2 linked regions of the Tribolium castaneum genome follow. The protein of the gene in region 1 binds, or shares a complex with, the protein of each later gene. Links are inferred from orthologs where the notes say so. Each region holds a gene or a part of one and is shown in the gene's direction. Other genes may lie near its edges.

What was found. The genes of interacting proteins can lie anywhere in the genome.
Region 2: Mettl14 (region 1) and fl(2)d share a complex: the UniProt entries of both Homo sapiens proteins name them as parts of the WMM complex. The link is inferred for Tribolium castaneum from reciprocal best matches to the Homo sapiens genes METTL14 and WTAP.

Annotation. Positions count from the first base shown.
Region 1 is NC_087399.1:165,879-170,877, reverse strand, and holds Mettl14 (N6-adenosine-methyltransferase non-catalytic subunit), read left to right. Parts: upstream 1-1,331; 5' UTR 1,332-1,460; coding exon 1,461-1,526; intron 1,527-1,576; coding exon 1,577-2,175; intron 2,176-2,227; coding exon 2,228-2,735; 3' UTR 2,736-3,009; downstream 3,010-4,999. Other genes in the region: BicC (protein bicaudal C), read right to left, coding at 26-256, 311-717, 765-987; phosphatidylinositol 3,4,5-trisphosphate 3-phosphatase and dual-specificity protein phosphatase PTEN, read right to left, coding at 4,078-4,264, 4,314-4,434, 4,903-4,999. UniProt on the Homo sapiens protein: The METTL3-METTL14 heterodimer forms a N6-methyltransferase complex that methylates adenosine residues at the N(6) position of some mRNAs and regulates the circadian clock, differentiation of embryonic stem cells and cortical neurogenesis.
Region 2 is NC_087399.1:5,869,394-5,873,419, forward strand, and holds the start of fl(2)d (pre-mRNA-splicing regulator female-lethal(2)D), read left to right. Parts: upstream 1-1,226; 5' UTR 1,227-1,437; intron 1,438-1,498; 5' UTR 1,499-1,524; coding exon 1,525-1,705; intron 1,706-1,849; coding exon 1,850-1,974; intron 1,975-4,026. Other genes in the region: sialin, read right to left, coding at 136-166. UniProt on the Homo sapiens protein: Associated component of the WMM complex, a complex that mediates N6-methyladenosine (m6A) methylation of RNAs, a modification that plays a role in the efficiency of mRNA splicing and RNA processing.

The DNA of each region.
Region 1 (4,999 bases):
GTTGGAAAACACAACTTATAAGTACCGTCAAATTTTCGCACATGTATTCCATGAGCAAAATTGTAGCCTGCTTCACCTGCTCCACCTCCCATTCGACTCCCTTGACTAGTACTATAGTAGCATGAAGTTTGGACCTAGTTTTGAACATGACTTGCACTTTGTACTGTTCCTGGATTTTAATTACGTAAGGACACGTATTATCAATATTTTGGGCCATTATTGGAGGCTCAAACCCAAAAATCAGCGGAATTAATTCCTGAAATGATTGTACTAGTGGTAGGGTTGGATTCAAAATGTTTGATAACTATACCCTAACGCGACTCCTTGCATTTTCAACCCCTTCCAAATCGCCCGAAATCGAAACTTGATTGCTTTTTTCCATCGGATTCGAACGATTCGAATCAGGGAAATGTACGTGGCATTGAGTTTCTTCCATGACACGTTTAATACTCAGCCCTCCTCTGCCGATAATATGCGAATGGTCCGTGTAACTTATGTCCATTTTCATGGTTACACGATTGCATCTCGTGTACAAAACCGTCATAATCCTGTCTTTGGCGGCTTTAACATCCTCTTCTTTGCCGGCGATCCTCACGTGAGGATCCTTTTTCGATTTAGCCCCCAATTTGAGTTTGTTTGGCCACGTTATGTAAGTGTCAGTGTCTTCCATAATGTTCGCAAAAAAAACGTCAGCAGGGATCAGTGCATCGTTGTCCCCTTTTTTTACAAATAATTTCACAAATTACAAAAAAAACTTTACTTACCACTAAGCATCTGTTCCAACTTTTTGCGGTCGACCCGGAACCGGTCCTGGTACAAATCCGAAATGTCCTTTAATCCGTGTTTGGCAACAAAATCCCTTAATTCCTCTCTGGAGCCCCAATTTGAGTTGAAACCAGAAGTAGCCGTGCCGCTTTCCGACACTTCTGATTGTGTGTCGGAATTTTTTACCTCGATTCCACGAGGTGTAGCACAATTACAAGACATTTTTTTTTTAAATCACTACGTCCACAATTAATTAATGACTAACCCCATTTAATGGTCACTTTGTAAGGATTTTTACGCGTTTTTAAGGGCTGTGTAGGTGACACGCTTTTGGTAATTTGCGCGACTGAACTCTGATAAGGGCCAAAGAGAAGTTTTATCTCCTGCTTTTTCTCAGCATGTTTTTCTTCAATCTTATCTGAAGTACTCTGGTACAGGTAAGCGCCAAATTTTACTATTTGCCAACTTTTTCAGGTTTCTAAATAAAAGAAATAAAGTATTTCAACAAAACTTTATTTGTCCTTAAGTGTTACACAATTTATTTCTACCACAAATAATTCATCCCCCAATTTAAATCTACCGCCACGATATGTCAAGCGGTGGCGCTACTTGATTATCATCAATTTTCCGAATTTTGCCAAAAACTGCGGGGAAACTAAATAAAATGAGTTGATAAAACCCGTCTGCACTTGAAAATGGGTGAAGTTATGAAACACCTGCGTGAGAAATCACGGAAACGCAAGCAACTTCTGGCTCAAACTGTACGTATAGTAAAAATGTGGTTATGTATCACTGACAAATAATGTTTAAGCTTGGTGTTTCCAACCCCGAGGAGCTCCGCCAGGTCCTAGGAACCACAACCGAGGTCTCTAAGAGACGTCCCGATTCCACCAACAACGAAAACGAAAAATACGACTACAAGAAAGACACTCCAAATGAATTGGTCTATCGTGACTCTTCAACTTTTCTCAAAGGGACTCAATCGTCGAACCCCCATAATGACTACTGCCAACATTTTGTCGACACTGGTCAAAGACCCCAGAATTTCATCCGCGATGTCGGTCTAGCGGACCGGTTTGAGGAGTACCCCAAATTACGTGAATTAATCAAATTAAAAGACGAACTTATTGCACAAACTGCAAATCCCCCTATGTATCTCAAATGTGATTTAACGACTTATGATTTGAAAAACCTAAATTGTAAGTTTGATGTGATTTTAATTGAACCACCTTTGGAAGAATACCAGAGAACCATGGGGGCCACAAATATGCAGTTCTGGCCATGGGACCAAATCATGAATTTGGATGTGGGGGAAGTGGCAGCGCAACGAAGTTTCGTATTTTTGTGGTGTGGAAGTTCAGATGGACTTGACATGGGGCGCGTGTGTCTCAGAAAATGGGGCTTTCGCCGGTATTTTCCCCATTTTTAGACCAAAATTTTGTAATAATAAATCTAATTACAGATGCGAGGATATTTGTTGGATTCGCACAAACATAAAAAATCCAGGTCATTCGAAAAACCTTGACCCTAAAGCAGTGTTCCAAAGGACAAAGGAACACTGTCTTATGGGTATTAAAGGAACGGTTCGGCGGTCAACCGACGGGGATTTTATTCACGCCAACGTCGACATTGATTTGATCATTTCGGAAGAGAACGAATATGGAAGTTTGGAAAAACCGGTTGAAATTTTCCATATAATCGAACACTTCTGTTTGGGGCGTCGGCGCCTCCACATTTTCGGTAGAGACAGTACCATACGTCCAGGTTGGTTAACGATCGGTCCCGAGTTAACAAATTCGAATTTCAATGCCGATTTATACGCGAGTTATTTTACTAATAATAATATAACGACGGGATGTACGGAACGAATTGAAGCTTTGAGGCCGAAAAGTCCGCCTCCAAAGGGCAAAGGAAATTCCGGAGGACGAGGTCGGGGCAACTTTCAGCGAGGACGTGGCAGGGGACGTTGAAAAAACACTTTTTAAAGCTTTTATTTTTAATTTATGACACTACCATAGTCTCCAGCAGTGCGCTCAGATCTGATTTGAAAAAATTATGACACTACCAAATCATCTCCAGCAGTGTTCTCAGATCTAATAACTTAAAATATAATATTAATCTTGGATCACAATCACAATAAGCAATATCAATATAAAAACTATAATAACCATACAATTATGTATTTATATATAAAAATAGTGGTTTACTTTATTTTCGTTCAATAATAATGACGCAGTCACATAATTTTTGTTACTTTAACCTTATAATACAATTTTTATATTATAAAACTGGTTGGTACCATGTTAAAAAATATTTTTCTGAAGACCATACACTGGGTTCGAGATTGTTTTCAATTAAAATCAGTTAAAACATTAACAAAATTTGGCATCGTAAGTACAACTTGTTTCTATTGTTGAAACACAAAGAGAAAAATTAAAACATGTTCTAAGTTTAACTTATAAGAAGGTACTTCCTAATGTAAAAAAATACATTGAGAAAAAAACTATGCACTAAATAATTCGAGCATACAAATTATTGGTCTTAATAAAATAATTTAACAGCCTTTTCTAGGGAAGAGAGAAATTTTCGTTAAGTTATTACAATTATAAAATTAGGGAAAATTAGAACTGAAGCCTGAACAAGAAATCGTATACAGTTTTGGATCGTTAAATTATTCTTCATTCAGTCTTCATATTGTACTGGCAATTCGGTTCACAATTAGTTCATTTCTAAATTTCCCTACAAAAAAAACTAGGGAGAGGGTTAGGGGGAAAATGGCAAAAATCTTATAATAACCGGTAACCAAAGTACTAACATTGGCAAGATAAAATGAAATGAGATCAAAAAAGCATTTGTACTCTCATAATTAAAAAGTGTTTTGACTGATTTTAAACTTGGTTTAAAAAAAGCAAGCGGATGAATGAATGATCAAAAAAAAATAATGACACAATCCCTTCTCTACATGCAATATTTACAGTTTTGTACGATGCATGCCCTTTGAGCCTCCCATTCACAGGTACGTGGACTCCCCTAGAAATAAATTTAAGTAAGACTGATTTCCCAACATTGTACACACAACACAAATAAGCACAAGCACAATTTACACATAATTACCTGAAATCCGTATTTGTTCGGAGGCTTTTTATACGAAAAAAAAAATAATAATAAAAATCAGACCAACGAGAGAATTATTATATCTTTTTAATCATTGTCTCATTAACGGAAAATACATTCTTACAACTTGAGCTTACACAATACAGTTTATTAAATTCAAAAAACCAGAATCATCACTAAGCAAAAAATGTGATTGTCCTACGAAGAAAAAATTTTGAGGTAGACGTCGCTGTTCCCTAATAATCTATCTGACTGACACACCAATTTAATAAACTGTAATCCGGCTGCTTTTTGTACTCGATTTTGTGTTATTATTACTTGCGAATAGAAACGGTCTCGGATGCGAGCCTTGAGGGACGCCCAGGGTAGATAAACAAAAACGAATCTAGAAATACTGGTAAATGCACGATTAGACATGGAGTTACGCAGTCAACAATTCCGGTTGTTGGTCGCCGCTGCTTGATGTTGTTAGTTGCGAAGCTAACTCGCATTCTGATAATATTCTGTAGCCAACACCTCGAGGATCATCCATTAGGGTCTCGCCTTCATCCAGGACTGCATGAGATTAACCCCAAACATAGATTAGTAAAGACACATGCAGATGATTCGATCATAGAGAGAGAGAGAGAGAGAGAGAGTTAATACCAACACGAAATGAATGAAATGGATTGCGCAAGCGTTGTACTTGGATTTAAAATAAAAACAACAAAAACGAAAAAGTCTTTTCGAAAAAACCAAAACAGATCAAGGAAAATATATTCTTTTACAAAGCCAAATTTTTGTAGCTTACACAACACACTTTATACTCGTCAACTATACAACTACATCCTAATGAAATAAATACTTTTTTCTCTTTTTAACAGATAGAGACAATAATATTTTTTCTGTTCAAACAGCAACAATGACACTTTGAAATTTTAATAATTATTACAAATAACATCACTGGATTTTCCTCTAATTGTTTCTGAATTTTATTCTAATTTTGGGTTTGGACGGGTTGCCTGACAAGTGTCGTGTACTCACCGCTTTCCCAGCCTTCTTCTGCTGAATCGTTTTCTTCTGACCATTCGGCTTCTGAACTTTCGCTAGGTGTGTCTTGAGATAATCGGGGGATTTCAGG
Region 2 (4,026 bases), about 5.7 Mb from region 1:
GGCCCCACGTGGAGTGCATGCCAGGACCGGAGATCACATTAGTACAAATTGAATCAAATTAATTGAAACACCGGAAGGGGAATTGGCGAATTAGCCCTCCCTACATCCGCCATAAACCCAGCCTACTTGACTCACCTGCCCATTTGCGCGTCTTCGCCGAAGCCATCCTGAAACGGGACACTTTCACACCTTAATAAATAATTTTGATAAATTAATTAAAAAAAATCTCAAACACCCGTCATTTATTATTTAGGTGCACGTCTAATCTCTCGAAGTAGTGTCCGCATACTCGTGTTTAACCAAACGGCGCTTACAATTTTTACCGCCTTTGCTATACCTCCAACGACGTCACTCACCGGTTTATCCCCTCCAGAAGCGACGACATCACGCGATTGTGGACGAAAAACGAATTATTTATGAGTTTGCGGCTTAATTAATTACATGTGATTTGTCTTAAGTGTATTGATCAATTTACGGTGGCTGAGAGTATCGTAAATAACGAAATTTGATAACGATGACAAGGATAAGGGAGATAAACAGTTTTTGATTGATTTCTTTACATTTATCACGTCGGAAACACGTCATATATGCGTTAATAAAGCCGAAAATTAACATTTTGCAATTATCGGACCTGAGGTGTGATGATTAATTTCACAAAAAAAGTTACATGTAATGAAGCCTAAATAAAGACACGATTAAAATTCGCTATCTACCACAAATATTTTGACCGAAATATTTTGTAAACGCAAAGCCGATGTAATGAATTTATTGATGATATGTCAAATAAAAATTATTAATAGCAGAAGAATAGCAAACAAGATAAAAGTAAATCATTTCGACAATTTCCCGAAATTTAACGTGATTTTGGGTAAATGAATCCAAAATTTTTGTAATTTTGCTTAAAAATGAAACGGCAAGTGACAAAAATTTATATTTTTTGTATTATTTTCCACAGTCATCTACACCATAAGTAACAATAAATACTGAAACTTTTTGCCTGCAAACTCGAATCTTAATTTTTTTATTCAGCTGTATTTCAGAAGAGATCATATGTAATTCAGAGTAACAAAGATCTAATTCGTATTGGAATATGTGTTGTTGGGCGCAGGCCTCGTAAAATGACGCGAAACACCCTATGCTTTTTGCTTGATCAATTGGGCGTTATTGTATGCAACCAGCAAAACAGGATGTGGTGTCGTTAGCTTTGAGCGTTGCTGTACCGGCGTCCAGCAGCCCGTCGAAGTCGCTCGCTGCGTTACCGACGGCGTCCAAATGTCAAAAAGTGAATAATGGCGTCTAATTTCAGTGTGTCCGTTGTTTTATGCTGCGTTCCCTGTTGATTTCAGATGTCTCACCGTTGGCCCCGCGTCATTTTTCGTGTTTACGTTCGAACATTGCCTAAGTGAGAGCCCACTTTGGGGCAGGCACCGCGCTCAAGTGAGTATTTTCACCGCAACCTCCTTCAGGGATAACAATGGCCGCCGGGGGCACGTTGTAGCTTCAGTCGAGGCTTGATTCGGCAGGATGTCGGAGGGAGGGAGCGGGCCGGAGGCCCAGCCCGGCAGCCCCGCCGACAAGGCCCCCGCGAGAGTGCTGGTGAGCGAGTCGGAGATGGGGGCCCTCAGCCCTGCGGAGTGGTGCGGCCGGTGGAGGCAGCAGGACGCGTACATCGCGGCCCTGGAACGGCGCCTGGCCCAGCAGGAAGGTACTTAGTTCAGTTACTCTAGTGTGTCTTTCAGTGCCACCACCACAAAAATTCCTTGTCAATCTCTATGTCTGTTTTGTTGATGAGTGGTGCAGTGTAGTGTCGTTCGTGCATCGGTGAAGTGATAATGCGTCGTGATTGCAGGCGAACTAGAGGACCTGCGCCAGACCACGGACAAGACACGAAACCAACTCAACGAGTCCCAGCAACGGGAACGGGTGTTGATGAGGCGCTTGACTGCCAAAGAGCAGGAGACGCAGGACTACGTGGTCAGTAATCATTTTATTTGCCACTCAAATGTTCTTAAGCGCGGGGTGGGTGCCGGAGTGCAGACGAGCTTTTCTGAGTGGAATCGAATTCAAAGTGACACAGTGAAGTGTTTGCACTAGACGGAAACAATGACAAGGTGTCCACAATTGACCAGTAACTTTGATTTGAACGCTGAACTCAAAAACTTACTTTTCCCTAACGGGGACTTTAATTAACGCCGCACTATGCTTAGTATAGTCGCTGTTTACTTGGCCAAAGTAAACAGTCTACCAAAAATGACTAGTTTTTATTTGTGTTCTGTCTGTTTATTGTATTGTTCAGAAATGCGCCTGGTTTTAAGGAATGTTTGATAATTTACTACCTTGGATCAATACCATTCAGTCTTACAGTGAAATATCAAACGATTTACTTTCCTTCGTCAGAAATATCCGATCAATCACTTTAGTTTTTTCGTTGGCTGCTTTGGACTTCAGCCAACTAAAAAACTAAAATAAATTGCTCCTTCCGATCAGATATTGAGACAAAACATTTCCTGTTGTGTTTATTAAATAAGGAGATTATCTGCTTTTACAAAGTATTACATGTTCAATTATTTATTACGAGACTGATTAATGATTTAGGTTGTTTGGAATCCAAAATTTTATAAAAGAATAAAAAACTTGTCTACTAATGAATTGTGATGCTTTCATCCAAAATATTTTTACTAGGTAAAGAAAAGTAGGGCGAAGACATTCAAATACGATTGTGTTAATTACACTATCCAACAAATTTACTACTTTTCTTACTTTACATTATACTTCTTGTGATGTTGATTTCGAGAAATCGCATTTCAGGTTACACAAGTTTTTTTTTCTGTAAAGCAAAGTAAGTTAAATTATGAAAAGTATGCAGTCTGTGCTGATTTTTGAATGCAAAATCCAAATTTAGAGGAAACACGCACGATAACAACGTGATTTGTTTCGTTTTTAAGGAACAAATCGTTGATATTCAGTGCATTTATTAATAAAACAACATCTAGATGAATTAGAGAAACTATACTTTCAGACAATTTCGTTCATTTCTACGCGTAGTGTAGATGAAAATAACTTAATTTATACGAAATAAGTGTCCAAATACTGTGCTTTAAAGGGTCGTTTTTAAGAGAAGATAAGCCTTTCCTATTGAACGACACTATTAATAAAATAAACCGGTTTGAGGTATTTTTCTTGTTTTAAAGCAAAGAATTGTTAAAAATGAACTTATTTCAAAGTAAATGCCAAGATAGTGCTGTTTTATTATTCATTAATGAATCAAGTATCAAAATAAAGCGATTTGCTTCGTTTTTAGGCAAAGAATTGTTAGGAATCAACTTTATTATACGAGTATTTTCGTAACATGGTGCTTGAAAAAAGTAATTATGCGAAAAAGAAAGACCTATAGAAAAATAGTAAAAATAAATTTATTTAAAATAAATGCCAAGATAGGGCTGTCTTATTATCCATTAACGAAACAGGTATCAAAATAAAGCGATTTGCTTCGTTTTTAGACAAAAAATTGTTAGGAATCAACATTATTATACGAGTATTTTCGTAAAATGGTGCTTAAAAAAAGTAATTATGCGAAAAAGGAAGACCAATAGAAAAAATAAGTTTTAAATTTGGATTCTACATGAACAAATTAATAATTATTGTACTTTCTCTAGCAGTAAATTGTGCAATTTACGTAATATTCACTTTAAAGTTTAAAGGTTTGTCCTTTTTTATAAATTTTCTAGTCATTTAAATCTTTTTTGTCTTAATAAACATTTTGAAAGTTCCACAAAACGTAATTAGTAATAAAATAAATATTAAACAGACAAGAATTTGTTTGTGCTAAAGAAACCTTTGATCATAGGCAAACAATTTTATACATTAATATTTGTCTCGAAGTTTTTTGTGTTCTAATTGACATTACAACCTCGCAAAATGGATTTTTTCTTCATGTTTAGCAAACATAGGTAAGTTATGTTTGTGTAGTTTTTTACTGTTCAGAAATGTTACTCATTAGGTGCTAATTAAATTTTTAATGTTCTG